Nothobranchius furzeri: one gene and its partners. Each later gene encodes a partner of the first gene's protein in a complex. Links are inferred from orthologs where the notes say so. Each region holds a gene or a part of one and is shown in the gene's direction. Other genes may lie near its edges. The genes, in order: gtf2h3, taf7 and gtf2b.

What was found.
Region 2: gtf2h3 (region 1) and taf7 share a complex: the UniProt entries of both Homo sapiens proteins name them as parts of the TFIID-containing RNA polymerase II pre-initiation complex. The link is inferred for Nothobranchius furzeri from reciprocal best matches to the Homo sapiens genes GTF2H3 and TAF7.
Region 3: gtf2h3 (region 1) and gtf2b share a complex: the UniProt entries of both Homo sapiens proteins name them as parts of the TFIID-containing RNA polymerase II pre-initiation complex. The link is inferred for Nothobranchius furzeri from reciprocal best matches to the Homo sapiens genes GTF2H3 and GTF2B.

Annotation. Positions count from the first base shown.
Region 1 is NC_091757.1:46,810,924-46,821,157, reverse strand, and holds gtf2h3 (general transcription factor IIH subunit 3), read left to right. Parts: upstream 1-3,596; 5' UTR 3,597-3,742; coding exon 3,743-3,752; intron 3,753-3,849; coding exon 3,850-3,929; intron 3,930-5,644; coding exon 5,645-5,751; intron 5,752-5,937; coding exon 5,938-6,068; intron 6,069-6,138; coding exon 6,139-6,201; intron 6,202-6,842; coding exon 6,843-6,872; intron 6,873-6,958; coding exon 6,959-6,987; intron 6,988-7,059; coding exon 7,060-7,134; intron 7,135-7,213; coding exon 7,214-7,267; intron 7,268-7,523; coding exon 7,524-7,592; intron 7,593-7,678; coding exon 7,679-7,814; intron 7,815-7,914; coding exon 7,915-7,951; intron 7,952-8,063; coding exon 8,064-8,133; 3' UTR 8,134-8,264; downstream 8,265-10,234. Other genes in the region: Rieske domain-containing protein, read left to right, coding at 886-1,090, 1,208-1,242, 1,372-1,659; psmd9 (26S proteasome non-ATPase regulatory subunit 9), read right to left, coding at 9,125-9,152, 9,327-9,415, 9,527-9,628, 9,731-9,918. UniProt on the Homo sapiens protein: Component of the general transcription and DNA repair factor IIH (TFIIH) core complex, which is involved in general and transcription-coupled nucleotide excision repair (NER) of damaged DNA and, when complexed to CAK, in RNA transcription by RNA polymerase II.
Region 2 is NC_091741.1:82,925,152-82,934,821, reverse strand, and holds the end of taf7 (transcription initiation factor TFIID subunit 7), read left to right. Parts: coding exon 1-11; intron 12-197; coding exon 198-331; intron 332-597; coding exon 598-718; intron 719-866; coding exon 867-925; intron 926-1,356; coding exon 1,357-1,429; intron 1,430-3,296; coding exon 3,297-3,407; intron 3,408-4,505; coding exon 4,506-4,700; intron 4,701-6,233; coding exon 6,234-6,346; intron 6,347-8,482; coding exon of another isoform or gene 8,483-8,494; exon of another isoform or gene 8,495-8,803; intron 8,804-8,824; coding exon 8,825-8,884; intron 8,885-9,198; coding exon 9,199-9,243; 3' UTR 9,244-9,458; downstream 9,459-9,670. UniProt on the Homo sapiens protein: The TFIID basal transcription factor complex plays a major role in the initiation of RNA polymerase II (Pol II)-dependent transcription.
Region 3 is NC_091751.1:71,414,426-71,424,710, reverse strand, and holds the start of gtf2b (transcription initiation factor IIB), read left to right. Parts: upstream 1-4,136; 5' UTR 4,137-4,211; coding exon 4,212-4,228; intron 4,229-6,981; coding exon 6,982-7,094; intron 7,095-10,285. UniProt on the Homo sapiens protein: General transcription factor that plays a role in transcription initiation by RNA polymerase II (Pol II). Involved in the pre-initiation complex (PIC) formation and Pol II recruitment at promoter DNA.

The DNA of each region.
Region 1 (10,234 bases):
ATAGGGGCAAGTAAAAGGTAGATTTATAATATATAAATATATATAAAGTTAATATTTGTTGTTTATTTTTGTGTTTTCAAGCTCTTGTACACGTTTTATCGAGGAAATCTGACAAACTACATGACATGACATAAAATCTAAATATGTCAGTTTAGTTATTAGTTAAAAACAGCTTAACTTGTTAGATTTCACTCACTGTAGAAATAACCTACGATACAATTAGTTCATAATCTTGCAATGATGTCCAGTGTGTCTTAACTTTTTTAAGAAGCAGAATAAATTCAACAATAACCTGAAACTGAGACTAGAAAGCCTCAATGAAACTGATGTTTTAAAAAAAATTCATATTAGTTGAGTTCACTAATTTTCCAAGCATTTGTCACAATCTTTCCACTGATTTTCCATTTCAGACTGATTTGTCACATTTTATTTTACCTTTAGAAGAAGAAAAAACGATCCTTTATATAGCACTTCTCAAGATAAAAATCACTAGGTGCTTCACAAGAATATAAAATGAAAAATAAAATATATAAATATGTAAAACAAGGAAAAGAAAAAAATTGATTACAAATGTAAGAAAAAGAGAAAATGAAAATGAATATGAAAGGTAATCAGTGGATCTCAGGAAGGCAGAATTGGTAGAAAGCTGAATGAGGAGAAGGTACTGAGGAAGAAACAGCAGAAGGTCATATGGCAACCTTCTAATTTAACAAAATACTTCTTTTAAACTTTGTTTAAGTTAAATTTTTTCTTGATGTTTTTTTATTTAGGATTTTAAAAAAGCCAAGGATCTTGCAGACAAGGAGCAGGAGTGGAAAAACACCTTACAAAGGAATGAATATTTCAGTTATTCCCTTCTAAAACTACATTTAATAAGTGTTCGACATGTTATCAGAAGAGGAGGCATCCCAGTCATCCACTTCCTCTTTGTCTCTTGTGTCTTCACCCTCCTCTCCTGCTTTGCACTTTATTGGAAAGAAGGAGGACATTGTCAGGGCTGGACGTGTGACCAAATTGGTGAATGGATGCAGAGATGTTCTGGTCTTGTATCACCAGGGGCAGCTTTATGCAATGGACAGGCGTTGCTACCGTAAGCTTCGAGCATTTGTGTTTGTTGACAAAGTGGATAACATTATGGCTGTGATTGTTTTATTTATTTGCAATGGCTATTTCTGTGCATAATGCCTTCTTTTTTTTACACTGATAGATTCAGGTGGTGAATTACAGAATGGAGACATAGAGGTGGGTCTTCTGATGCTTTCTGTGAATAATAGAATTCAACAGATATATATGGAATTCATAAATAAATATCTGTGTTACCTATTTATATAAACTGTATTTATTTACAGACTGTCTTATCATTTTCATTAGGAGTTTAATGGACGCCTGTGCATTGTGTGTCCTTGGCACAAATACAAGATCACGCTAGCAGAAGGAGAAGGACTTTATCAAGCTGTAGAGAATCCTACAGTCAAACCGATAAGGACTTACTGGTGCTCCAAAGGTGTCAAGCAGAGGGTTCATAAAGTCACTGAAGTTGGTGGGAACATATTCGTAACACTGAATGACTCCAGCAAGCCCATCGAGTCAGATGTTTACCAAGTGGAGAAATACAGGACTGTCTCACTTAATGTCCAAACTCCAAACCCAAGGAATTAAGATGTTGATGAATACAGTGACTACTGAATAATAAAGCAAAAATACCTTAGTAAAAACTTTGTTTTAAAAAATAAACAATATTTTCATCTATAAGAATGAAGAACACAAAAGGTCTTTCTGTGAGACAGAAAGAAAGTAGTTAAAAAACATTAATGATAATTTATTTAAGATGTTATGCCCTGAATGACTTTGCAAGGTTGTTAGCTAATCATTTTCAGACATTTCCATGAATGCTTAATGAAAAATATCCCAGCAGATGGATGAAAACAAAACTTTATGTGAACAGGGTGCAGCCACCATTGCTAGAGGTATTGTACGAAACCCCATTTGAGCTAACTGTATCAGAAATGTAGGGGATTTCTTTTGTGCTTTTTACATGATATACAATGGAACTTATTTGAGTCAGGAACAGCAGCAGCTCAGGAGGTAGAGTGGATTGTCCAGCAATCGGAAGGTTGTAGGTTCGATCCCAGCTCCCACTGGAGAATGTTGCTGTTGTGTCCTTGGGCAAGACGCCTAACCCGACTTACCTGCTGGTATCGGTCAGAGGGACCAGTGACACCAGTGCATGACAGGCCTCACCTCTGTCAGTGCGCCCCAGGGCAGCTGTGGCTACACTGTAGCTCATCCCCACCAGCATGTGAATGACTGCTTGTGTTGTGAAGTGCCTTGAGAGGTTATATTCCTTTTTTTATTCATTTATTTTTCATGTTTGTATGTATTGTTATCTTTTGTCATTTTATCTGACTGTAAAGAAGTTGACTTTAACAGAAAAAAGATGCCAGAAAGCAAGACGGAAAAAAAGACCCCTATGGCGCTATATAGTACAGGCCATTTATGAAATTGATCGTTTTAATAAAATGTTATACCTATGCAAATTGATTTTATAATATGTCCAAATAAAGTCTGTTTTTTTTTCTTTTGTATTAGCTTTAGTAGTTTTACAAAAATGTTTAGTTTTTGTAGTTTTTTTAAATGCAGATGCATACTTGCTGTTAAACAGAAGCATTTTGTTAGAATATACATTTAATTAATTAACGAATGAGAAACAGCTGCTTCAGTTAGGGTCAAGAACTTTTTTTACGAACATGAACAGGTGTGTGAAGTACAGTTTCAGAGAAACATGCCTATCCACTTTGTTAGATCTCAACAAATACATTTGTTATTTATTGTGTACATATTTTAGTAGTTGTGTTTTCTACTTTCCACCAACGCCACAAAAAATATTTTGTGGCGTTGGTGTGATGTCACAAAAAAGTCACAGTCCAGGTTTTTTTTCTTAGATGTTTATATTGTTTATTTTTTCACCTACCGGTGACTCCGCCATATTGATTAACGTGAACAGTGACCGGTGTACTGCTTTGTTTATTTATTTATTTTTTAATTATTATTCCTGAACAAAGACATAACAGAACAAGGTACGACATTAAGGTACAAACTCTCATGGAGGATGTAAGCTTAAAAACAGGCTAGGGGCTTATCAAAGAAAAGGAAAATGTTTATGTTTATTCATTTAGCAGACGCTTTTATCCAAAGCGACTATTACAATTTATAACCTATATGGCATGTTGTGATCTGTGGGGGAAACCGGAGGAAACCCACGCATGCATGGGGAGAACACGCAACTCCACGCAGAAAGACCACAGCCGAGTTTCGAACCTGCAACCTTCGTGCTGCAAAATAACATAAAAAACAAAGGAGCATGATTTACAAAGGAAACTCAAAACAGTTCTCAGTTATTTGCCGTGAGATAATTCTCGCATTTTTTCCATTTTACTTAATGAAGAGTAGAATAATTTAAATTCGTTCAAGAAGCATGGAAATGAGGGCTTGGTACCCCTCCGCTTATTGCAATGGATGTGATATTTGGCAAACAAAACAACAGTCCAGGTGGCAGCACTGCGCTGGTTTGTAGCAGTGAAAAAGAAACTCGTCGCACAGTGATGACGCACATCTAGCGGCGACAAAAAGCTTTTTTCCCTAAACACTTTTTGTTCGGTCTTCTACCATGGACGGAAGTTATCAACAGAAAAATCTGTTAGAAAAACTTTAGTTTCTTTTGTTTCGATTAAATACTTTCGAGATGGCATCAGGTTTGTTTTGCTTATTGTCTCACTACGTTCTTTTGATGCAATATATTACTGTTGTTTCAAGTCTGCAGAATGGTGTTTTATACATTCATTTCTTCAGAGGGAGAAATCAGTCTCCTGGTGGTTGTGGTGGACGTGAATCCGATCTGGTGGGGCCAGCATGCTCAGAGCGAGCCGGAGGTGACAGACTATTTATTTATTTATATGCAGTGTCACTAAAATCACATTTTGACAATATGTAGTAAGGATATATAATCTTTTTAAGTCAGACAAACGGATTATGGTTTATTAATATTAAATCAGGATATTTTATAATTGTGACAAGATCTAATACATGGGATAAGTTCTTCTCTCCTATTTGAGTCACCAAATATTATTTGAATGAATCTTTTCTATAATTTACATCAGTTACTACTTTAGAAATGTGTTGGATTACAAAAATACTTTGATTACCAACATCTCATATTACACATTCCATCCATCCATTCATTCTCTTCCGCTTATTCGGAGTCGGGTCGTGGGGGCAGCAGCCCAAGCAGAGAGGCCCAGACTTCCACTTCCCAGCCACTTGGCCCAGCTCCTCTGGGGAATCCTAAGGCATTCCCTGGCCAGCCGAGAGACATATTCCCTCCAGCATGTTCTGGGTCTGGACGTACCCAGAAACTAGAGGTGCTGAAAAAACCCGATTCAAGTCTGAATCGGGATTCTTATTTATAAAGATTCAGAATCGATTCCAAGAACTCAAATATTTGGCATGTTACAGGTTTGAGATGCAATTTTTTGATCTTTGATAGGAGAGTCAGTACTCCGTTTACTTTTGTGGTCCCATAAATTGAGATGATTTATGTTTGAATCTGCTGATAAGAGGGCACTTGAATGTAATTTTTTCCATACTCAGAAATTTGAGATATTCTCTTATTTATTTTCTAAGTTGATAAATGAGTACTCAGGATTACTCATGTAACTTTTTCTACACATACTTGAAAAGTATTTGACCATATTACTTTCAAAGCTACTGTTAGGTAACTACAGATTTGTTATATTTTACAAGGTAAGCAAAAATAAATGTTGCCTTTTGGTCAAAAGATTGTTTCTGTTTACAGTTTTAGAATCACTTTATTTTACATTGTAAATTTGCGTTTTTGGAGCATGACCAGTTTAAAGTCAAATAAAAATGTCCCATAGCTTTAACTAACTTGTACAACAAAGTAGTTCATCCTGGCGCTGACATGCTTTGTTAATACTGATTGTGAATCGATTTAATTTGAGAATCCAGAATCGAATCGGCACCCCAAGAATCAGAATTGAATCAAATAGTGAGTTGCTCTAAGATTCACATCCCTGCCAGAAACCCTCACCAGGAGGCATCCTAACCAGATGCCTGAGCCACCTAAACTGGCTCCTCTCGATGGGGAGGAGCAGCGGATCTACTTCGAGCCCCTCCTGGATGATTGAGCTTCTCACCCTATCTCAAAGGGAGAGCCCAGACACCCAGCAGAGAAAACTCATTTTGGCCGCTTGTATCCATGATCTCGTTCTTTCGGTCACTACCTAAAGCTTGTGACCAGAGGTGAGGGTAGGGACGTAGATCGACTGTAAATCGAGAGCTTTGCCTTCCGGCTCAGCTCTCTCTTCACCACGACAGATCGGCACAATGCCCACATCACTGCAGATGCAGCACCAATCCGCCTGTCAGTGTCCTGATCCATCTTTCTCTCACTCATAAACAAGAACCTGAGATACTTAAACTCCTCCACTTGGGGCAGGACCTCATCCCTGACCCAGAGAAGGCATTCTATCCTTTCCTGACTCAAGACCATGGTCTCGGATTTAGAGGAGTGATGAAAAAATATATATATATATTTATGTTTGTTTTTTCTTTTTCTTTTTTAAAGTTCACTTTGTCCAAGTGTCTGGATGCAGTCATGGTGATGGGAAACGCACACATGGCTATGACCAGGACTAACCAGCTGGCTGTCATCGCTGCTCACTGCCAGGACAGGTAACTTTATACTTCATGGAATAACTTTTCCTATAGTTTCCAGATTTGAGCAAAACTTGACTGTTTTACATTTGCTTGATAGATCCCAATTAACCTACAAGTTCATGTAGGTTAACAAAAGGTCAACATTGAAATGTCCATAAATGCATCCAGAGGTTAAATTCCATTTGCATTTCTTCCTCTCAGTCACTTCCTGTATCCAAGTAAACGTTTGAAAGGGAACGATGATACGTCTTCCAGCAGGGATGGAAAATATGAGCTCCTATCTGTCACCAACAACCTCATCGCTGAAGAGATCAGGGATATCATGTCCAAGAGTAGGTGCAAGTCTGTGTGACGTAGGGAAGAATTTGGAGTAAATAGATGACTAAATACTTTTTTTTGCAGCGGAATTGACGGGAAATTCGACTGATACTCTTCTGGCTGGATCCCTTGCCAAAGCTCTGTGCTGTATCCTTTTAAAAACCGTCGTCTTCCTCCGCTTATCTGGGTCCGGGTCGCGGGGGCAGCATCCCAACTAGGGAGCTCCAAACTGTCCTCTCCCCGGCCTTCTCCACCAGCTCCTCCGGCAGGTCTGCCACCCGATCCACACTGCACCGGATCCTTCATGTTGCTCCTGCGGGTGGTGGGTCTACAGTTGGATGAGCCCATGTATCCGGTTCGGGCTGGGCCCGGCCGGGCCCCATGGGCGGAAGCCCGGCCACCAGGCGCTCGCTCACGGGCCCCAACCCCAGGCCTGGCTCCAGGGTGGGACCCCGGTAACCCTCAGGGCCGGGTGACTCTTTGATTGTACATCCATGAAAGATCCTCTGAACCGTTCTTTGTCTCACCCTTCACCTAAGACCAATTTGTCATGGGAGACCCTACCAGGGGCACAAAGTGCCCCAGACAGCATAGCTCCTAGGATCATAGGGCACTCAAACTCTTCCAAGGTGACGGTTCAAGGAGGAGCTTTTAAAAATCATCTTATATAATTAGTTTATTTCTCATTCAACCAGGACTTTGTTGGTCAAGGCTGATTTATTTCTTTTTGCAGAGCTCGGTGTGATTGAATTGTTCTGTAACATTTCCTTCCATCTAGAACTATCCAGATATCAACAGGATTTCAAAAGAGGTGGGAGGTAATAACATATGTCCCTTATCAAATTAAAACAGTTTGTTTTGTTATTTTAGCACTCTGCATAAGTTATTTTTTGTTCTTTTTTAGTTGCACAGGAGATTAAATCAAGAATATTGGTGAGCTTTTGCTTTCTCTCTTGACTTTTCCTGCTGAGCTGGAGCTCATCTTCTGTTTTAATTGTGATACAGGTGATAAAAGCAGCTGACGACTGCGCCCTGCAGTACATGAACTTCATGAATGTGATCTTTGCTGCACAAAAGCAGGTGGAGTTGTGTATCTCACTCTGCTAATCTAACACCTGTCTTTAACACTTACTTGGTTTGTTTCAATACTTGTGTCCAGAATATCCTGATAGATGCGTGTGTGTTGGATTCAGACTCGGGGCTCCTTCAGCAGGTACTTCATTACATCCTTTTTCCATTTGTTTTTCATTTCATTTAGAGCTGCATGGTGGAGCAGCAGGAAGGTTGCAGGATCAAATCCTGGCTGCAGCCTTCATGCATGGAGTTGGCATGTAAACATGCATGTTAGCTTAGTGGTGACTAATTTCCGTCTGGGATTAATAAAGTATCTTTGAATTTGACTAAGTTGTCTCTAGGTAAAATGCTTAAGAAAATGACTGAATGAGTAAATGTTTGTGGTGTGTTTTTAGGCTTGTGATATAACTGGAGGTCTGTACCTGAAAATACCACAAAAAGTAGCGCTGGCTCAGTATCTTCTGGTGAGGAAAGAAGTTTGCTGAGCATATTTCTAAGAGCGTGGTTGTTGTTTTACTTTGAGGTAATGATCTTTATGTTTTGTGAAAAGTGGGTGTTCCTGCCCGACTCGGAGCAGCGCTCGCTGCTGGTGCTGCCGCCACCTGCTCACGTGGACTACAGAGCCGCCTGTTTCTGCCACCGTACCCTCATAGAAATAGGTTACGTGTGCTCGGTTTGCTTGTCAAGTGAGTCTAAAAGAACAAATGTGTCAAAGCAATATTGGAGACGTTGTTTTAACGTTTTCTTTGGGGGGTTTTTTGTGGGTGAATTTCCTTCTGTTTCCAGTTTTCTGCAACTTCAGCCCTATTTGCACAACATGCGAGTAAGTCTGTTATTATTCTAAGTTGTTGCATCCGTAAGGATTTTTTAAATGTATATCAAGTGTTTTTCCTCATTTTTTGGCACAGATATGATTTAGAATCTTTGTTTTTTAGGACCGCCTTTAAAATCCAACTACCACAGATGGTTAAACCCAAAAAGAAGAAACCAAAGCTGCCAGCGTGATGCTTTCTTTTTCAGCTTCAAGGCAACAGGAGTGACTGATTCACATAAACAGTATCAGTATTTTTGCTCCAGAGGAGCAATGATTTTTTTGAAGAAAATACAATGTGCATTAAACTTACATTTTAAGCTCAGTCTTAGTATTTGTTCACAAGTCTGGATTATTTTGTTTTCATTAAAACTGTTTTGAAACTATTTTTGTGATTTTAAATAATAAAACTCAACAGTAAATTATTTTCCCCAAACTGCCGGGAGATCAAGATGTTTTTTTCACGACTTTAACCAAGTGAGGTCGTTGGATGTTGTTCTTTGTTATTTCTTTAGAACGAAGCACAATGTGTTGCTTTTTGAGATCTTATAGCCTCCATGCCATCAGCCTGGTATAATTGAGGTGTGGGGAGTCAGTCTCAGCTTTTTTAACAATATAGTTGATTTAACAAGGTGGACAGTTACTGTTTCACACGGGTCCAGGATGGTCAGGATAACTTTTTTCCACTAATCAGTTAAATCATTTTGAAAACTACATTACTTTGTATTTAATCAAGTTATCTGCTGACCTGAAACATTTGTCAAAAATGTAAAACTTGGTATTGGGGGGGGGGGGGGGGGGAATACTTTCTCACATCTCGAGCTGTTTATTAGTCCAACACATAGGATAGATAAATATGGACTTCATGTTAGGTCACTCAGCATCCTCCCAGCTTGGTCTTAGGAGTGTGTCTACATCATGCCTTTATCGGAGCTGAATGCTAGCCATAACAGATGAACTGTTAATTAAAGGTCACATTCTGTGTGTTAATCATCCACAGAAGTAAATAGAAGTGCTGCAACACTTTGTTTATATAATCTATACCACTCTCATTCTTTGGACAGTTCTTAAGAGTTTCCACTCATACTAAAAAAACATGTCAGTGTATAGCCACTCAGATTTTTTTTTATTCAGGATGAAATTCAAAGAATTGAAAGATTTCAATCCAGCAAAGGATGATGTGGATTATCTCTGGACTGGAACGATGTTACACCTGTGAAGGAAAAAAAGACAAGATTTCCATATAAATGATGATGAAACCACTAATTATTGTGCGTACAAAAGAGAATTCTATCATTAAACACAGAAGAAAAATGAAAAGTACCATGAGTGTTTGGGGTTTTTATTGTATTATCTGCCTCATATGCTGTGTCTCTGAAGCACTCACCCCAGCAGGCCCCTGCCTGACCACCGCTGTGGAGTCAGGCTCATCTGAGCTTTTTGGCCAGACCTGATCACAGAGACCCGAAGAGGTTTCTGAAAAAGAAACACATAATAATACGCATCAGGAGAGACGGATAGTCACTGTAAAGGTAAATATGAATTATATCCACCGGAGGAATATCAGTAGAAGTAACAAAAACTTACTCCTTCGCTGTGCTGCACCACAGCAGCAATGTTTTGGAGGTTCTGAAAATTCTCCGTGTTCACAGAACCAAACTCGATGATTTCATCCCCCAGCCTGAGGCCCTTTGAAAGAAAACAATTGCTATCAAAGGAACAGAAACATTTATCAAATTCAAACTGTTAAGAAAATATGCCTTAATAAATATTTAAAAAAACAAACTGTACAGCTCCAGAGGCAGGCGAGCCTTCGGTCACAGAATCCACTCGTGCAAACGGAGGAGGGAGAGTGACCTGCTGCTCCATGGCTTCCTCCTCAACCTCATCTTGACCACGCTTAGCTTTCTCTCGAGCATGTAGCTTGTGCAGGGCTTCCTCTATCTCTGCCATGATGGCTTTGTGGTCATTCTGCAGACCTGAAAACATCAACTATTTACAAACAGAAAATAATATACACATATACAGCTAAGACAAATGTAAGCATTTCATAATTAAATTATACTGAAATCTATTGTTAGTTCATTAATAATTTGAACTGATATGAATACTGGACTAAAAGTAGTGAGTGACTAAAACATAAGCCCTGAGTGCATATCTAGAAAAAAAACTAGAACATATGGCACTGGTCCTGATGATGGACGAGCATCAAAATAAAAAGCACCTTATATTAAAGATCATGTTAATAAATAGTAAACAAAATGAACCGAAGTTGATTATATTTTATTCAAGGTC
Region 2 (9,670 bases), on another chromosome or scaffold:
CGAGTTGCACCGTAAGATCAGTAGTCATAAAACTGGCCTGTGTGTGAGAAGTGTGTTTGTAGATTTTTATATGTGGTTTGGTAATTCTTTAGTAATCTTGTCTTTTCTGGTCTTTAGTACAGCCCATCAGTGACACCAGCTGTCGATACTTCAGCAACTTACAACAAATCTCAATCATTTGCTTCTTTCATTTACAGCTGATGGTCGCCACGGAATAGTGAGAGTGGACCGTGTTCCTTTGGCCTGCAAACTGGTGGACTTACCTTGTATGATTGAGTCTCTGAAAACTGTAGATAAGAAAACGTTTTACAAGACTGCTGATGTCTGCCAGGTAAACCACCACTCTATGATTTAATGTTTGCACTTATTAGAAATAAAATGGAAAATGCATGCTCAAACCTATATGCACTGTAAAAAAACAACTAAAATAAATCAGAACTATTTTGAGTAGGGGGAAGGTAGAAGCATAAGATTATGGATTTCCAAACCCCTCCTACAATTTTAGAAACACAAAATTTTAACTCCACAAACACACGGGCAAAAACAAAACAAACAACAACGACAATTGACCAGTCTATTATTTTTATTTTTATTTAGATGCTGGTGTGTACACTAGATGGAGACCTTTTTCCTCCGCTGGAGGAGCCAACTGGCACCGACCCCAAGAGCAAAAAGAAAGATAAAGACAAGGACAAGAAATTCATTTGGAATCATGGCAGTAAGCTGATGAATATCTCTGCATAACTGAATTTTTAATAATTTGTTCTAAAGAAAAAGTCACATGTCAGCAGTTGTGGATGCAGACTTTGCCTCCTCAGCTGATTGAATCATTTTCACTTTGCTAACTCTTTTGTTTTGGTCGTCAGTAACCTGCCCACTGAAGAACACGCGCAAGCGACGATTTCGGAAAACAGCCAAAAAGAAGGTAGACATTTTTAAAATCCCACCCTCTTCCCCATTGCCCTGCTGTTTCTTTGGCATATTGTTTGATGATTCATATATTTCTTAAGCTCTGCTCCAAATGTACTTTTCATAAAACAGCCTCTGTGGTGAAAGTGAAAACCAAGATTAACATATAAAGTGTTCCATCTTTCCTCCAAAGGCATGCAAAAAGGCAATTTCACTACTGCTTTGATCAGAGTGAAAGTGAACAAGCTTGAGTGTGACACTTTTACTTTGTCTTTTGAATAGATCTTCCTGAAGGTGCTGAGCAATATTGATTTGGCTCTTCATGTTTTTAATCACAAAAGTACTTCCTGGCTTGGATCCAACAGTTTTTTGTGAGGGTGTGTGTGTGTGTGTTTGCATGTGTGTTTGTGTGGTTAAGAAGTAACCTGAACTCTGTTTGTTTTGCAGTACATTGAATCTCCTGATGTGGAAAAGGAAGTGAAGAGATTACTGAGTACAGATGCTGATGCTGTCAGCGTTCGTATCCTTTTCGACTCCCACAGTACAAAACATCATGAAAATCTCCCTAACCTGTTACCGTCCAGCAAACTAAAAGGGTTGTTTGGAAACAATACAGCTGTAAAGACAAAAAGAGACCATGGAGATGTTTATACAAAAGTTTTAGAAATTAGGTTTATGGGGCGAATATGTTTATATTGCCAAAAGGAAATTGAAATAAAAGCAAAAAACAGCTTTGATGAAATGGGGCGAAATTGTAGCCTGACCAGCTAGCTGGGAACTCTCCTATTCAAATGACCCCCCCCCCCGGAGAATTCGAACCAAGCAAATCAGTGCTGAGCAGCGTACGAAACACACCGTAACGATGAGTTTCTCATAAACAACGAAGACGGCTTCTGAAGCGGAGTTCGCTGTAGAAGAGCTAAAAGACTTTCTTCTAAAGAAAGATCTTTGCGCTGTCGCCAGAAGCCATTTTTGACTACAGCTAAAAAAAAAAACTTCAGCGTCGCGCGTTACAGTCATCATTTCCGCCTTTTTTTCTGATTGGTTATTTTTGAGTTGGCTAGTCCTGCCTCTCATGTGCCTCTCTGCCTGTGAGTAACCAGACCTGTTTACTGTGTAGAACAGAGGACGAGTCTGGCAGGGCAGGCTAACAAAATTTAGTTAGTTAAGAACTTAACTGAACAAATAGCAAGTATAAAATGTAAGAACTAACGATGTATACAGAAAAAGTCCACATTTATGTAAACAGCTTCAGTAACTGCATAAAAAATCACATTAGAATTGTTGAGAGGTTCTTGGGACAGTTTGATGCTGATTTCATGTAGTTTCACATGTTTTGCAAAACAGGAAATATGGTGTTTCATTAACAAGTTAGTTATAAAGAAAAAAATATTTAATAACAAATCTGCTAAACTCTTTCCAAAACCTATGTCTGGAAGAACAGTATCGAAAAAGATGTGCAATGTATTTTGTCCGAGAGGCATTGCTGTAGTGCGATGTCATCGGCAGGCCCCTGAGCACATCGGGCACCCTGAGTAGATCTGGTACCTACACCGTCTCTGATCTGCTTTCACATGTACATTAGTGATGTTGTAATGCCTGCGGGGAAATGGTGTGTTCTGAGAAAAGCTGGTTAACATGTCATAAGCAGGACACACCCCTTAAATTTACATGTTCCATCCCACTTCAGCATCACTAATATATAAACGTTGGTCACGGTAATGCTAACCGCAGAACAACACTAGCCCAAGCTATTGCTAAGGACCTTATTGGACAATAGGAAAACAACAAAGAAGAATGTCAGAGCTTGCATTGATCTCGGATGAATTTGGAATATTCAGACATTGAATAAATACCAGAGCTTGGTCCACACCTCAACCCCCCCCCCCCCCAATGTCCTGAGAGGATGAGCAGAAAACAGTGCTCAGCAGTATTATGTATGACAGTAGTCTCTGTCGAGGCTGTGGTGAAAACCTGACAATCTCAAACTTAACTGTGATGTACACAGAATTTAATATCTCACATTTAATCCAAGACCCAGCAGACTCCGTCCCACCCAGCTCTCTTTATCTGGCTCCGTGTGATGCTTTTGTGAGGCAGACACTGTGTGAAAAGAAGCTATTAGAGCTCTAATGAAACCCTGAACATTTCTGACAGAATAAGAGCACAGCGGAGCGGCTTTGTCTGGCTGCTTGCTGTGTGTTATTGAGACGGTCGGTTCATTATTGTTTGGTCACAGAGAAACTAGATTCTGTTTATGTTTTTGTTGCTAAATGTTGTCCCTCAGGTGTGATTCATAGAAGAGCTTATTTAGGTTCATCTCACAGGATTTGAGGTATTTTAGTGTTGGATTTTTTTAAAGATTGGCCCTAACTCAAGATGTTCAGGATGGGAAATTATAGCAGAGGATGAGTCCAAAGAAGCAGACCAGCATGGGTCTCTGGCTAATCTGGACTCTTCACCTGGTACTTCAGGACATAAGGGTCACGGGTCCTCAGGTAAATGTAAATACACGTTCTGTTTGATGAACAGCTGGTATGGACTTTGTTGACAAATCTGGGGTACAGATTAAGACTCTGATTGTGACTGCTTTCTATAAAACCATACATAAATCCTGAAAGGACGAAAAGCCTGAATTTCTGCTTTAGTCCCTCAGGAAAAGCTAGCATAGATCAGATCTTTATACATTCGTATGCATGTATTGTTTGCTTATAGACGCATTCAGTCATATGTTGCTTCTAGGGATGTAAGAAAATATTGATATAGCAATATATCGTGATCTTTTTTCCTGCGATATATCGATATTCAAAAGCTGTGTATCTAATTTTTGGAAGAATTTACATGCAAACGTGTGTATTAACTTTTCTTTTGGTGCAAATCAAATGCCGACCACTAGTTGGCAGCAGTGTACAATGGGTTCTGTTTCCACCATTGAATTGTAAATCCCTCTATCATGGGTCAGATACCTCATGTTAAACATGATAAGTATCAGTTTTGACTGTTTATTGAATTTTCCTACAATAAATTCAGCCTAAAAAAATCGCTGATATCGTCTGACTGAATGTATCGCAATATATCGGGATATATCGTATCGCCTCCCCGTATCGTGATTCTTATCGTATCACCATCATTTCACCAATACACTTCCTTAGTTGCTTCCATATACTTTACCAGTGCTGCTTACAGTTTGTAGCCTTTTCAATTTAGACTGTCCACTTAAGAAACTTTTGACAAATTTTAAATGTTACAAGTTTTTTTTAATGGCCTTTAAAATGAAAAACACCTTATTTTGTGATTTTATTTGTGCTGAGATATTTTTTTTTATTAAAAAGGAAATTAATAAAACATGATGATCTTCATGTCAGTTTTTACAAAACGCCCAAACAGTCAAGGTTTGGGTTTAGAGATCAGAGAAGATTATTCTGGATGTTTGGACTCCAGGATGTTTTCCGTCAATGACCAACAGACCAAAAATGTTATCTTTTTATAAACTTTGGTGTCTCCAAGGGAATTCAAAGCCATCTTAGTTTTCAGAGTTTCAGCGTGTCTTGTCTGTGTGTTGTTGTTAATAACACCGTTGTGCTCTGCACGGCCAGTCCCGCGCGACGAGCTGAGGGAGATCTTCAACGACATCAGCAGCTCAAGTGAGGAAGAGGAGGACGAAGGGGACCGGCATGAAGACGAGGACCTGAATATCATGGACACAGAGGATGATCTAGTGCGACAGCTCCAGGAAAAGCTCAACGAGTCGGATTCTGCTCAGCATGAAAGCGACAGAAACAACCAGATAGGTGAGAATTAGAAGTTTGGTCGTTGTTCATCACAAGGTCAGCAGTGTGGGGGAGAATAATCTCACACTTTAAAGCTGTTTAACCTTTTTCTAAAATGCAATGTGGGCCTCGTTTATAAAACTTTGCATAGAATCCTTACCAAAACCCTACTTAAGCTCAGTAAAGAATAAATTACTCACGCAAACTAGTTTACTACGACCTATAATACTCTGCTCACTCACAGCTGCACGCAGTTTCTGCTTTCTGTATCATGGCCAGGTTTCCTGTGTCCAAAGCGTACTCACGCCAGGTCCAGTGTTTGCTTGAATTTGCGCACAATTATTCTGTCAAGTTTTTCTGAATAAGTCACGTTTGCATGGAAAGTCACTTATGCAGTTTTCAAACCTTGTTTTCTGTGCAAGCAAGCTTTATAAATGAGGCCCCTGGTCTGTAAATTATCATTTTCATTTACCTGTTTAAACATTTTCAGGTTGCAGGTTCCAGGAAACGTCTGCACGTAAAGTGCAGACTCAAATTTGAATCTCTTTACTTCCAAATAACCTACATACCTAGCTGAATGAAGCAAGTGCTGTGTTGGATTATGCAATCTTTCATGCTGTGCTTGCAACTCACACCTCAGGGTAAATGTTCAATCTCTTAGCCAACTTGGTTGTTAATTTTTTTGTCAGAGTGGTCACAGCAACAAGGTTGGACTTTGGAAGAAAGTCAGACATTAAATTAAATCAGATCACCCCTAGGTACTTGTCGAAGCAGATGTAAAAAATAAACGGAACCAAGTGTTTGAACTTTTAATAAGAAGTGAGCTTTCTAGGTCAGACATCACACACAGTCAAAGAAATAGCCTGGCTTCCCCGTAAACGCGCATGCTGCTGCACCCTGCAGACGAACACACTGACAGCTCTCAGCTCTCCTCCTTAACCAACCAGGCTGACAGGTGTTGCAGCGCGGCATGCAGCTCAGACAGCTGTCCGGTCTGACAGCGCCGGGCCTCCTTATCTGCATACGTGAAGCTGTCAGTCAGCAACTCCACTGGTCAGCTGCAGACCAGCATCCAGGCAGAGCGTTTTCCAATATGTTGCAGAATGGTTTGCCATGATTCCAGCTGCTGTGCAGGCTTGTAATAAATGGTGCAGCAAGGGCCCCTTGCTGCTTAATTTAGCACAATACAGCAACTGCATTGGAAAATTGAGCACCAGTGGAAATAAGCAGTGAATGGATGCAATTAGTTAGAAAAATATGGAGCCAGTGCAGCTACAGGTTAGTGGGAATCAGTTGAATTGAATTAATTGTAACTCTCTTTGTTGAACCTACAGCAAACTGATTTAATTGTCTCATAATGCGTCACTGCTGCTGGTGCATCATCCGTTAAACAGACCAATCGTTCCCTAGAAGGTTTAATTTACTTAATCTGCAGTCATGCATGCATTGTTCTCCAGAGTTGTTTAGTTGCATCAAGCGATGCCAGACCATTGTTTTTTTCTGAGTTGTTTTAGGACCTTTTTTAACACGTTGGCCTCCTGCTGTTTTCTGCAGTTATGGAGTACCAGGTGCAGATTAACAACATAAAGGCCAAGCTTCAGGAAACTCTTGCCCGCAAGAAACAACAGGAAGAGCTCATCATGAAGGTGGAAAACCAGGCCCTGAAAGTAAGTGGCCAATGCTTTCTTTTTGCTCCTGAATTGCATGAAATCACTAAAACACACACACAGGGTCCGAAATTAACACTCGCCACTCGCCAAATGCGAGCAAATTGCTCCATTTGGCGAGTAAATTTTTGAGCTCTATCTGCCACCTGGCGAGTAAATGTTTGCACCAAATTAGTTATGTTTATCAGTCATCTTCCATGGATTTCTGTGATACTCCTCCCGCCTGCATGCAACGTACACAAACGTGCGCGAAACGTGAGCGCCGCATCCAATGTCATTTCCACCTATCCCATTCAATCAGTTTATCAAGTTAGCAGTTAGCTTCGTGTTAAAACTAGCGGTGAAATGTGGCGGTTTTTAACTGGAGTCAGCCAGCCTTCCAAAAGAAAACTCGTCGAACTGGAAGAAAAACCACCAGGACCAGTGGCAACCAGATTTTGTGAAAAGTGGCGAACTGGAGATGGCGGAGTCGTGAGACAATGGCTACATTATGATGGCCACGTAGCGTTGCTGCCTTTCACAGACACTTTTTTTCTGCACGTGCTGCAAACAGGATAGCCGTCTTCTATCAACTGTCCCTCGGCATTCTTCAAATATCCAAAAAATGCCCGTACTTCCCACTTTGTCTTCTTTGAGGGATAATAAATGTCCCAAGTGCTGCCGTCTCCTCCTGCCATTATTTCAGCTTTGGCTTCAAGAAAGTTTTGGTCGTAAACAACAAAGCGCGCATGTGCCGCCGGTAACTTCCAGCAGATGATACGGTGGCTGGTAAGGGTCACCGCGCCTACACCGCAGCCACGGTAATCCACCGAGATAATATATATATTTTTTAAAACAAGACGGTTATTATTATTGTCTACTTTTTTACCGGGGTTTACTGCTACACTGGTTACCGTGACAACCCTAGCCCTGACACTTTCAGATATTCTCATGGTGCAGCTGTGTTCTCCAGAGATCAAGGACCTCTTGGCCCTCATGGAGGGGGCTGTCTAGCACACTGCTGCTATCCACTTAAACATTCTCCTTCTCCTGATAATAACTTTTTGCTTTCCTTGACGTTGGACGTGTTACTGCTAGTTTACCCATTTAATTAGAGATCCACTAGGATAAATACAATAAAGTTGATCTCACCAAACATAATATTTACTAAGACATCACAATAGAACTATAGACACATTATTGTGTGTGTGTGTGTGTGTGTGTGTGTGTGTGTGTGTGTGTGTGTGTGTGTGTGTGTGTGTGTGTGTGTGTGTGTGTGTGTGTGTGTGTGTGCGCGCGCGCGCGCCTGCTCTGTCTTCTCGATCCCCAGTGAGTCGTGGAGGATGGCTGCTTATACTGAGCCAGGATTCTCTGGAGATTTCTTCCTGTTAAAAGGGAGTTTTCCTCTCTACTGTCGCTGCATGCTTGCTTAGTATGAGGATTGCTGTAAAGTCACTGACACTAGTCAGTGACTTGATGCAATTTGCTGGGTTCCTTATATAGGAAACTATTTCTGATTGGCTTAATGAACTGTGAATTGGAATGTTTATTATGTGAAGTGCCTTGAGACGACTCTTGTCGTGATTTGGCGCTATATAAATAAACTTGAATTGAATTGAATTGAAGTGACTATGACCCAAATGAGGCTGTAATGCTTTGGCACAAAGACGGTGTCAGAAGCAGGAGGCCAGACTTCATGGACAGAGAAAACAAGGAGTCTGACTAGATTTCAATGAAAGAGTTCATAAAAACATCTCTAAAAATAAATAAATAGTAAAAATGACAAAAGAGTTGTTTTTCTTATTAATTGATGTTTTAATTATTTTGTCACTCCGTCTGGAATCAACATAATATAGAATAACATGCTTTAGGTGGATCTAAATCATTTAGAATTTTGGCCGGTAAAAAATATGCTTGGCTGGTAGATTTTCATCATCTACCGGCCAACTTGGCCGGTGAGTAAAAAATTTAATTTCGGACCCTGCACACACACATAAAAATATTGCAAATTAGCTAATGAGCTGGAATGCAAAAATCTTGATGCAATATACATTCTGCATTAAAAATAACTGATTGCACATATTTTTTCATATATTTGATTCATTTAAATATCATATCTTCTCCCTAGCTAATTCCAGTTTAAATCTCAATGTGCAGGAAAAACTCTGAACAAGATCTGCATCTTCAGCCAGCTGCACTTTGGTGAAGACTTTACACTGAGGCGAACATGAGCAGACGTGACCCTTTTTATATGTTGCCATTTAGAGCTCTCAATTCATAGTGCTTTGGGACCATTAAAGCCTGATCACTAGTTGTTATTATCACAGTGGCATGGAAAAGGTCAGCTGTCTCTTACTGGCATTCTAAGTGGCCCTTCTGTCGGAGAGGAAGCAGCGACACGAGCAGGCCTCTGCAGACGCACATTTAAAGGCATCACAGTTTAAAGAGGCTCGGCGTGTCCACTCGTACAAACCTTTTTTTGTCTCTTGCTGGTTGCAGAACCGTTTCCAGGCCTTGCTGGATGAGATTATTCAGCAGGAGGAGCGGGAGATGGAGCAGGTATGTAACTGCCAATAATCTGTGCCATTGTGATATTTTTGTATTTATTTTTTTACTTCTTGCAGCTTTGTGAGGTTGTCAGTTTGAGCTTGTTGATTTCATTGAGGTTTCTGGTTTTTAAAAACATTTAGTATTCTTAATTCCACTTATGAGAATGCTTTTTTGCTGTTTTGTGGGTTTTGCTTAGACACTGTTGGGTGAGTGTGTTTAAGAAGAAGGCAGACATTTCATTATGAATTGTTAAAGATTTTTTACATGTACAATAACCTTGAGTTGTGGACCTCAGTCACATTTTCTGTCTTGTGTTTTCACAGCTGGCTTCCCTGCAGGAGCAGCTGGACTCGCTGATTGAGAAGTGACCAGCAGGGGGCAGTCTCAAGCCATCTTTAGCCAGGCTACTTCCAAGGATGAGGAAGAGGAGGAGATTAGGCTGAAGGCTGTACTTCATTAGGAGACTTGCCATGTCTTTTTTGTTATTTTGCCATTTTTAATACGTGACATCTGCAGCTTTCATGTTTCTGTGTTAATATTTGACATTTTCTGTTAAGTAAATAAAAATTCTGCAAGTTTCTGAGTGCACTCTAGACATAAATATCTGCTTTAGATACCTTCTTGAAATTAAAGCTTCATCTTATTCATTTTAACTTTATTTCACTCTGCTGCTGAAAAGAAGGAAAAACTAACGACCAATGTTAGCATCATTCATTCTATCTGTGTTTTTGGTATTCATTGTTGATTTAGTGTAACATTTAACAGAATAAATGAGCGTGAACCATGCAAATAAAA
Region 3 (10,285 bases), on another chromosome or scaffold:
GCACATCGCAGATGTAGCTAAATCACTCAAGAAAAGATTCCCATCTGAACGTCTGAGCTGGACACTGCTCAGCGCATATGTGCACAGCGAGCTGAAGATGTGGAGATTGGCTTGGAGCGCGTTGCAGAACCAGAGCGCATGCGGGAAGGTTCCTCCCACTGAAGCGAGGGTTTTCTAAACCCTGACTCTCAGAGAGACTTGTCACTTAGAAAATGTTCCCTGATGATGAAACTTTGGCTGAATAGTGCTTGTTCCTGTCTCCAATGTGGCGACACATCCAGGAGCCGTCTGAGGAGAATCCCAGAATCTCACATCTTCAGCTCAGAAGCGCCTATGATTACACACAAGCGTGACCCGTCAACCCGGTCTCACAGTAAGACCGGGTTGGACCTGTTCAGGTTTACGCAGACAATCTTTACATTTAGAATTGGCTTACAGATGTAAAATTAATGCAGTAAAATATAAAGTATTTTATTTAAATATCCAGTCATTATCTTACAAGCACAGAGAGCCGCATCAGATGGATGGAAGAGCCGCGGGTTGCCGACCCCTGGTATAGCCTATAAAATGACATGTTGAGGACGCAAACTCAATACATCTCTTTTATTGTGAAGTAATAATTTCTCCGAGTTTTGCGGTTGCGGGCGGGAGTAGACATGCACGCTGCGGGTGCGGGCGGTAATGGTCAGAAATTCAGCAGGAGCGGGCAGGAGCGGGATGAAGGAAACAGTCCCGCGCAGGGCTCTACTGCTGCGTTTCAGTCAGGGGTCTGACAGTGAGCTGCGCTGAGCAGTGTCCAGCTCAGATGTTCAGATGGGAATCTTTTCTTGAGTGGTTTAGTGTTTCAATTTTTTTATGAATTTGATTAAAAATAAAGGCACCCGGCCCGGCCCGTGTCCGAGGTAATTACACAGTCATTGGCCCGAGGGCCTAGGGCTTCAATGCAGGGCTACTCTGCCCCTGAGCCTGAGATCAGTGGACTTTCTTCTTCTTCTTCTTCTGGATTGAGGAAGGTGAGAAAAACACTGCTTATTTCTGTAACCTAGTGTAGCGAGCGTGTACTTTTATCGGTTCCGTTAGAACCTTAGAATACGCTGCTTTTTCAGGGAGGTTGAGGCCGCAGGTGAGTTTTATTGTGCAGACCCTGGTTTGGACTCCTTAATTAGAACTCGTTTTCTATTTTAAGGTGGAATGGAGATTGCTGTACTTGTTCTTCTGTGACAGCACACTTCCCTTTTAAATCTCCCGTTATTTAATTGTTTTAAATACTAGGGCGGAAGTTCACTGGAGGCCATCCAGCTGACTATTATTTGGGTCCTATCAGGATTAATTTGCGCCTCTGTCAGCATATGTGGGCGATGGTAATTAGAAAATGATTCCTGTTAGTTGATCAGGCTAACATGGATTTATCAATTAATCTAATTAATCCACCCTTTGAAATGGTTCCTTCCCACGCTAAACAGAGACTTTTTCACACGTGCAGAACAGAGCCTGTTTGAACCAACTAACCATTTTGATTTATAATCCTCAGGGTGTCCTGCTACGTTAGGGAGGAGAGGAGACTAGCTCCCATTACCTCAGGTATCTTTTCTTAACCTGTCACAACCTGAAAACAAGTCCTGAAGCACAGGAACAAGCAGTTTAAGGTGGCTTACCTCTCCTTTAGATCTGGTCGGGGCTCCCAACTCAAAGGCTAAAGAGACCTTTAAGAATCGAGAATGAGGACTCTTTTTCCAAAAAGTTAATTTCAAAATTAAAAAATACAAACAAGAGTAAATCTGAGATTTAAAAATCCCCTTAGGAGGATGCTGCTTCTAAAAATCTTCCTGAGAATAACTGCTCTCTCTTCCTGCACCTGTTGGTGATACCTCGTCGACTTGTGTCAACTCTAACTGTCACACACTAACTCTCACACGCTCTCACTCCTCTCGTCAACGACCTCTACTCTCTTACTCCCTATGCTCTGTCTGTCTCTAACTGCTCTTTTTATATCATTCTAAAAAACTGCCAAGCCAAACATTTTCCATAGTGAAGCAATATCTCAACCAGTCAAGAGACAGCCTAAACAATGTAATCATTTGTCAGTTACATACATCTTTTTATCACAAGACAGCAAAACAATGTGATTATTTGTCAGTTACATATCTCAGTCAAACACAAGACAGCCAAACCCATGTGATCGTTATATTTGTAAGCTGGTTTCAGGTCCACTCAAAGTCAAACTCCCCCACGGAGGACTTTCACATTCTGAGACGTCTCTTCAGTTGGCCTTCTTCTGTCCCGCATCCTGTACTACTTCCTGTTCAGTTGGACCACTCCTCCTTATCACCCTAACCCTCCAACACCGTTATATATATATATATATATATGTATATATATGTATATATATATATATATATATATATATATATATATATACATATATGTATATATGTATATATATATATATATATATGTATATATATATATATATATATATATATATATATATATACATACATATATACATATATGTATATATATATATATATATATATATATATATATATATATATATATATATATATATATATATATACATATATGTATATATGTATATATATATATATATATGTGTATATATATATATATATATATATATATATATATCTGTCTCATGCAGGTGTCAGAACACCTGCATGAGACAGGTGTTAATTACAATCTGCCAGAATGACTCACCACCTTCAGATTTCTCCAACACCGTTAAAAATGATCAAATACGGAACATATCGGCGTGCGCAGGCCAGAGCGCTGAAGCTCGGCGCATTGTTATTATGAAGCTAGGGCACATGTGGAGGACACGCGCGCGCAAAAATATACTTGTTTTCAATTACATTTATTGGGCCCACTTACTTTTTCTTAGGCCCACCCACAAATGAGTTTCTGGCTACGCTAATGGTGACATATGACAGACTTCTCTGAGCTCCACAGCCATTACACTTTTCACCTAGCGCACCCCCTAGCGGCAGCTCGCGCACCTCCTAGCGGCAGCTCGCGCACCCCCTAGCGGCAGCTCGCGCACCTCCTAGCGGCAGCTCGCGCACGCACCACACTTTGGGAATCCGTATTCCAATCCTTCCTATCTTATCTATTAAAGGTCTTCTGTTAACTGACAGAAAATGCAACGATCTTACAATAAGATCACCCTTAAATGAATCTCTTTTTCCTGGAAAAACAAACAAAAATAACATAATTTACACATCTGATAAAACGTCTGTTGAGAAAATAAGAACTATCTACCTAAAATTACCTATACCACCGAAAGCTAAAGAAACCCACTTTAAAATAATGAATGCAATCTATCCTTCAAAAGAGTTGTTAAGAGCTCGTTTTAATATTGATAGCAACAACTGCTCTTTTTGCAAAAACCACATAGAAACTATAGATCATATATTTTATGAATGTCAGAAATCACAATTGTTCTGGAAAAAGCTAGAGGTGTGGATCAAACCACTCCCAGTTCACATCACTAAAGATATGATAATATTTGGAATTATATTCAATAATAAAGATAAAGAACTGCTATAATATCATCCTCTGTTTAGCCAAATTTTTATCCATAAACAACGAATTTTACAATCATCCACTGTCTTCAATGTTCTTAATAGAATTTCAATTATATTTAAAATCCCTGAAACATCTCAACAAATATAACGAAAATCTATATAACATGTTAGCTGAACTTCCAAAGTGATTTCCTAATTCTGTATGATAAATGCTGTACTCTACTTGTTCTTCATGTTCTTTTGTCTCTTGTTGTTGTCTTTTTACTGGATATTTACAAATGTTATTTTAACTGCTCCTTTTGAATTTAAGTTTTGGACTTAACATTGTCAAAGTGCCATGTTTGTTTTTAAATTTACTAAATAAATAAATAAAAATTATTCTTCTTCTTCTATCATGTGGGGACCCTTGAAGGGTCAGATTCCTGATTACGAGTTACTAGTTTACATTCTCCTAACAAACGGAAGGAGTTCATCCCCCTGGTATCTACAGCCTTGCCACAATTTTATTTTGAAGCCCGAAAACCCAACAGGTTCCACGTCCCAAACAAAAGAATTTGATTTAGTTTTGACTCTTGTGCTTTCCGTAGTTTTAGTGACACGTGACCCGAGTATTTATATAGAGGTGACTGGATCATTTGTTTCTCTGACTGAAGAGAAAGGAAGAACATGGCGTCGACGAGCCGGTGCGTAACCAGTTGGACCAACTCTGCAAAACATGTTTGTTCTCTAGTTGAAGTTCCGAGAACGTGAGAAGTTGAAGAATGTGTACAAGAGTGTTTTTAACAGACGACGCTGGTCTGCTGTTGTGGATGTAACGCGTTTAGGGTTAGTTGTGGTCTGGTGGCAGTTAGCTTGCTGGAGAACGTCAGATGCTACCAGAAATCTCTGCTTGTGTCGCCGCTGCGCCTCGCAGCTCCGTGCGGATCCCTTTAGTTTCGTTTCTGTTTGAAGCTCCTCTGCGTCGGTTCGCGTGCGGAGAAGGCTCGTGCCATGGTGAATAAGTAACCAGCGTAGCTCCGAGTCAGTCTGGACGTTTGTAAACAAATCTTAGCCACGTTGGATGTTTACAGCGATTATCATCGTTACCATCGGCTCCCTCGGCTCTCAAAGTTTAAAGTTAAAGTTCCACTAGTTGACATTTGTTCTCCGCATTTCACCCATCCCTGGGGGAACTGTGGGCTGCAGACACAGCCGCGCTTGGGAACCATTTGGTGGTTTGACCCCCCCCCCAATCTATCTGAGTATCAAGCAGGGAGGCAGTGGGTCTCAAGTCTTTGCTGTGACCCGACCGAGATGTGAACCCAGTCCCAGGGCGGGCACTGCTACTAGGTCCCTGAGCACCGCGGTGAAGTTAGCCTGAAGTTGGATGTTCGACAGACATCGGTTTACACGGTCAGAGATGAGTCTTCATGCCGTGCACGGCGGCACAGACAGCGGTAACCTGGGTTCCGCGGACTCGCTAATGGGAACGGTGGTTCCCTTAGGGACTATCAACAAATTTGTAGTCCTTTGTAAACGAGTACAAACAATTAAAAGCTTCCAGAATAATTTGCTAAATGACTCAAAATAACTTCTGACTTGTGTTACTAAACTACATTTACAAGACACAACAGTGTTAACACATTTCACACAATCAGATCTTTTTTATTAGGATTTTATTCCAAAATTAAGGGACTTTTTTTTTCAACAGTTCCTAGGTAAATCAGTCTAAATCCACAAAACCATTTCTCGATTGTGTTACTAAGCCAGACCAATGAGACGCAGCAGTTTATAACAACTTTCATACCATCTGATCTGCTGAGGGTGAGACAGGGAGCACCAGACCTGCTGAGGGTGAGACAGGGAGCACCAGACCTGCTGAGGGTGAGACTGGGAGAGCCAGACTTGCTGAGGGTGAGACAGGGAGAGCCAGACCTGCTGAGGGTGAGACAGGCAGCACCAGACCTGCTGAGGGTGAGATGGGGAGAGCCAGACCTGCTGAGGGTGAGACAGGCAGCACCAGACCTGCTGAGGGTGAGACGGGGAGAGCCAGACCTGCTGAGGGTGAGACAGGAAGAGCCAGACCTGCTGAGGGTGAGACAGGGAGAGCCAGACCTGCTGAGGGTGAGACAGGCAGCACCAGACCTGCTGAGGGTGAGACGGGGAGAGCTAGACCTGCTGAGGGTGAGACAGGCAGCACCAGACCTGCTGAGGGTGAGACAGGCAGCACCAGACCTGCTGAGGGTGAGACAGTGAAGAGTGAGATGATTTTAGTGGCTGATGAGAGGAAGATCTGAATGTAATATTAAGTGAACACAGTTACATTTATGTAATCCCATTACAAGTAGAGCTGGGCAGCACGGCCATGCTGTTCATGCTTCCTTAGACATACTAGAAAAGTAAGTGTTGAACTCTGCATTCTGGTGCATCTAGACAGCAGTTTTGTCCGTCTGAATAATAACGTAGTTCCAGCTGTTGTTGTGAGTGAATGATGTATTTTTTCATTCAGTCACAAACAAACAGATAGTTCTGATTGTTGGTCAGCATTGTTGGCTGATGTAGTTTAAAATATTCTGATGAGAGTCGGATCAGTTCAGACTGAATATTCACAGCTTTAGTCTTGTATTAAATCTGTTTACACATCTCTACCCATAGGAATAAGATCATATATCCTACGTTCATGTTATTAACAGCTTTTTTATCATTAACACGTCCACGCTGGCCAGTAATCAAACCTGGATCCGGCTAATGGGGAGCCTAAGTCTCCGCCCCTTCTGGTTGGCTCATTAGTCCCCGATCAATAAACAGAATGTTAGTGAACTTGCTATAAAGTTATTTTCTAGTCTTTCTGGGGTTTGCCTTACGCCCCAAGTCTCGTCTGTCAGGCTTTTCATATCCTAGAGTTCCACCGTCTGTTTTCTATCAGAAGCGAATGCAGGAGATGGGTGTAGGAGACTATTTTCATGTTCAGCCTGCATGAAACACTCAGAGTGACCCGTTAGAATCAGAAATAATCATTGAATGTATTTTTTTCAGTGAGGTTGACCTACATATTTACCTAAAACAGATTTATCAGATTTCCAACCCCCCCCCCCCCCCCGGTCCATCCCATTAAACTCCTTCCTACTCCTTTGGTTCCCGCTCATTTTTGGCCTTGCGTCGTTCCCGGGTACAAGGGGATCTGCTTGGAATAGTGACGCCCAAAACCTTCTGTTGCTGGGAAAGGTTAAAGGTTATCTCCAAACTATTTACTAGCTCATTCCACAGAGATTAAGATGAGTTATAAATGCAGAACCTTAATCTGTGGTTCATCCTGAGCTCAGAAGTACAAACAACCCAAGAGCTCCATCTCAGACCCTACAAGCCTCATTTAGCAGGTCAAAGGTTTATGTTCACCTTGTTGATTTGTAATTTATGTAATTAACACACATAAATATATCCCTATTGGCTTTCACAGCGGTGAAGGTCTGACCCTGCCCAGGGTTACGTGCCCCAACCACCCTGATGCCATACTGGTGGAGGACTACAGAGCAGGAGACATGATCTGTCCTGAATGTGGCCTTGTTGTTGGTGAGTGTTTACATCTTCAAAGACTATTATTATTATTATTATTATAATATCTGAGATGTTTCAGTGAAAACCGTCTCCTTGTGGTTTCCTGTCAGCTGCAGATGAGTCAAACTCCTGAGTAAACACCAGTTAGTTTGAAATGTTTGAGCTCGTTTCTGGGTTTACACGACTAAAGGGCAGTTTTACACATACTAGGTAATCTCCACCGACCTACTGGGATGAGACCAGTCCCTCACGGTGGGTTTATACGCTGTGTCAGACGTTTGTGAGGGTTGTGTTCTCTGCTCTTGTTGCTGTTATTTGAACCGTTGGGCTGCTTTTGGAGCTGAATGTCTCGTTGAGACGAGTTGGTGAATAAAACACAAACAAAAGAAAACGTCGTCTAAAAGCAACAGCAGATTTGCACAGCTGTCAGTAGAGATGCTCCCATCCGAGTTCCTGTAAATCATGATCAGACCAGATTTTTGATCGTGTGGTTTTCAGGAAATCAGAATCAGTTGGGAAAGTCGGATTTAACCATATAAAACGACAAACATTACTTTAGATGATGTTTTTAAACCGGAGAACAAGGGCTTAGTTTTAAATTTAAATCTGCATTCTTTGTTTCAGAGACAACAACACCACAAGTCCCACATTTTAAGGTGGTCTGTGAATTGACGCACCATACCATATAGCATTTAGCTAACATAGGTCACACTTGTCACCTCTGGGGGAAGGACATGTTTGTAATTTGGATGTGTTTTTGGATGAACAGCAAAGGGAGTGAAATAAACGTGTAATGAGTGCAAACTTGGCATTTAACGAGGTGGAAAAGGTGGTGCTGCGTTCAACACTGATGCCCCACCTTAACAAAAACACTGACCCTGCTCAGTTCGCTGCAGCAAGTCAGCTAAGCCAGCCAAGAACCAATAAATGGTCTACAGACAGCAAAAATGCCAAGTTTGTAGCATATTTATCACACTGGATGAGCTTCTGTGGTTGCAAATGTCCGGTTCTGTCTCCTTGAATCGCAGTATGATCTGCTTTCTGTTCTAGTCTAGTGCTGTGCAATCCCTGTCGCTGAAAACAGCCGCACACGGAGTAAGCCATTTAAAAATATGAGCAACAAGGAAACTTTTACATTTATTCCTAGTAGGGTAGGGCGATATGGCCTAAAATCATTATCACGATATGTTGAGGACATCACCTCCATAACTAGCCTAGTGAACTAGACCAAATTCTTGCTTTGCAAAGTTTGGTCTAGGAATGCTCCACTGGAACCTCCGCAGCTCCTACCAGGACTCTGGCTAGCCAATCACAGCTCTCTAGAGGGGTTTCAAACACATAAAGAGCTGTGATTGGTCCATAATGGTGGGGCCAATCATAGTGCTCTATCTGCTTAGTGAACAAATCACAGAGCTTTATCCGCTTTGTGGGCCAATCAGGGCACTCTATATGCCTGGTGGGTGGGATGATGCAACAGAGTGAAACAAGAGTATGTCACATTCATTGTCCAGTGGAATGCGGAGATCATTTGAAAGACAACGGTAGAACCCGCCCCACAACCGAGAGCCGTCAATGGATCGTGGCCAGACTACATAATACATTTGTTTAGTCTGGCCTGCCAGGCTAGTCCATAACGATAACCGGACGATAGCTACAGGTATGTGCAGAAACAACAGCTGTCCACTAGATGGGGCTGTCACCTGTGTGAAGTCACATTTTTACATGACTCAAGGTGGTACAGCTTCTTAAAGCGACATGAACGTTGCCAACCTACACACATCTTTTCAGTTTTTTACTATCTAATTTATTGAGATTTGAAAAATTTTCACGATAAGAATCAGAAATTTTGATAACGATAAATTTTCGAATGATTGCCCTAATTCCTAATATTAACACGTTTCTTATTATTGTACAGCGCTCTACATAAATGAGTACATCCCCTTTAAAAAGTAACAAAAGAACCGTTTCCAGACTTTAACAAGGCCGGTTTTATTGAACACGTGTTAACTCCATAACATGAAATTAAGGTTAATAATATAACTTGGATCACAAATTCTTCAGTTTTACTAAAAGTGTTGGAAGCAAAGATGAATCCACCCCACAACAAAAACCACATCATCTGGTACTTTGTATGACCACCGTGATTTTCAGGGACAGCACCAAGTCTTCTAGGCACTGAATGAACAAGTTGGCGACATATTGCAACTTCTATCTTTTCCATTCTTCAAGAAGAACCTCTTAGAGCCTGGATGCTGGATGGAGAGTGATGTTCAACCTGCTGCTTCAGAATTCCCCACAGGTGTTGGACTGGGTTCAGATCAGGAGACAGACTTGGCCGTTCATCACCTTCACCCTGCTCTCCTTCAGAGATGCAGCAGCAGCTTTAGATGTGTGTTCTGGGTAATTGTCGTGTTGGAAAAGTGCACGACGACCACGTTCACGGGGTGATGGCAGCATCTTCTCCTTCAGTATAGACCAGGACATTGTTGAGTTCATGATACCATCAATGAGATGCAGCTCCCCAACACCATTAGCACTCATGCAGCCCCACATGAGGACACCACCACCACCATGCTTCACTGTAGGCACCATACATTTCTCTTTGTGATTCTCACCTTCACAACGCCACACAGTTTTGAAACCATTAGTTCCAAAAACAGTGATCCTTGTCTCATCACACCAGAGTCTAGAGTCCCAGTGGTCTTCGTCTCTTCCAGCATGGGCCCTGGCTAATCCTAGGTGTGCTTTTTTGTGAAAATGTCAAAGAAGTGTCTTCCTACAATCAATTTGCAAGACTTCCTTTTTAGTTTGCATCTGCCAGAGGAGGAGCTGAAAAGCAGATTGTACAGTTTCAACCCAGCAGGACCACATTCTCTGTGGACAGTGTAAACGTTTGGTTACAGGAAGCAGGCAGTCCTGATACTGAACCAAACAGTGCATCTGATGATAAAGTTGTTGAAGACAGTGTCTCTAATATTTCAAGTGTCAAGTCACATTCAAAGGCATCTTCACGGCAATCTCGGACTTCATCAACATCTTCCACACGCATTAATGCTGCCGCTGAACAGGCAGAGCTCATGGAGCGGGTCGCTGCATTAAGGAAAAACATCTTATTGAGGCTCAAGAGGAAAAACTAAGTAGAAAAGAGGAGAAACTGGACGTAGAAACTGAGTTGGCAGCAACAAGTGGAAAGCTTCATGTTTTGA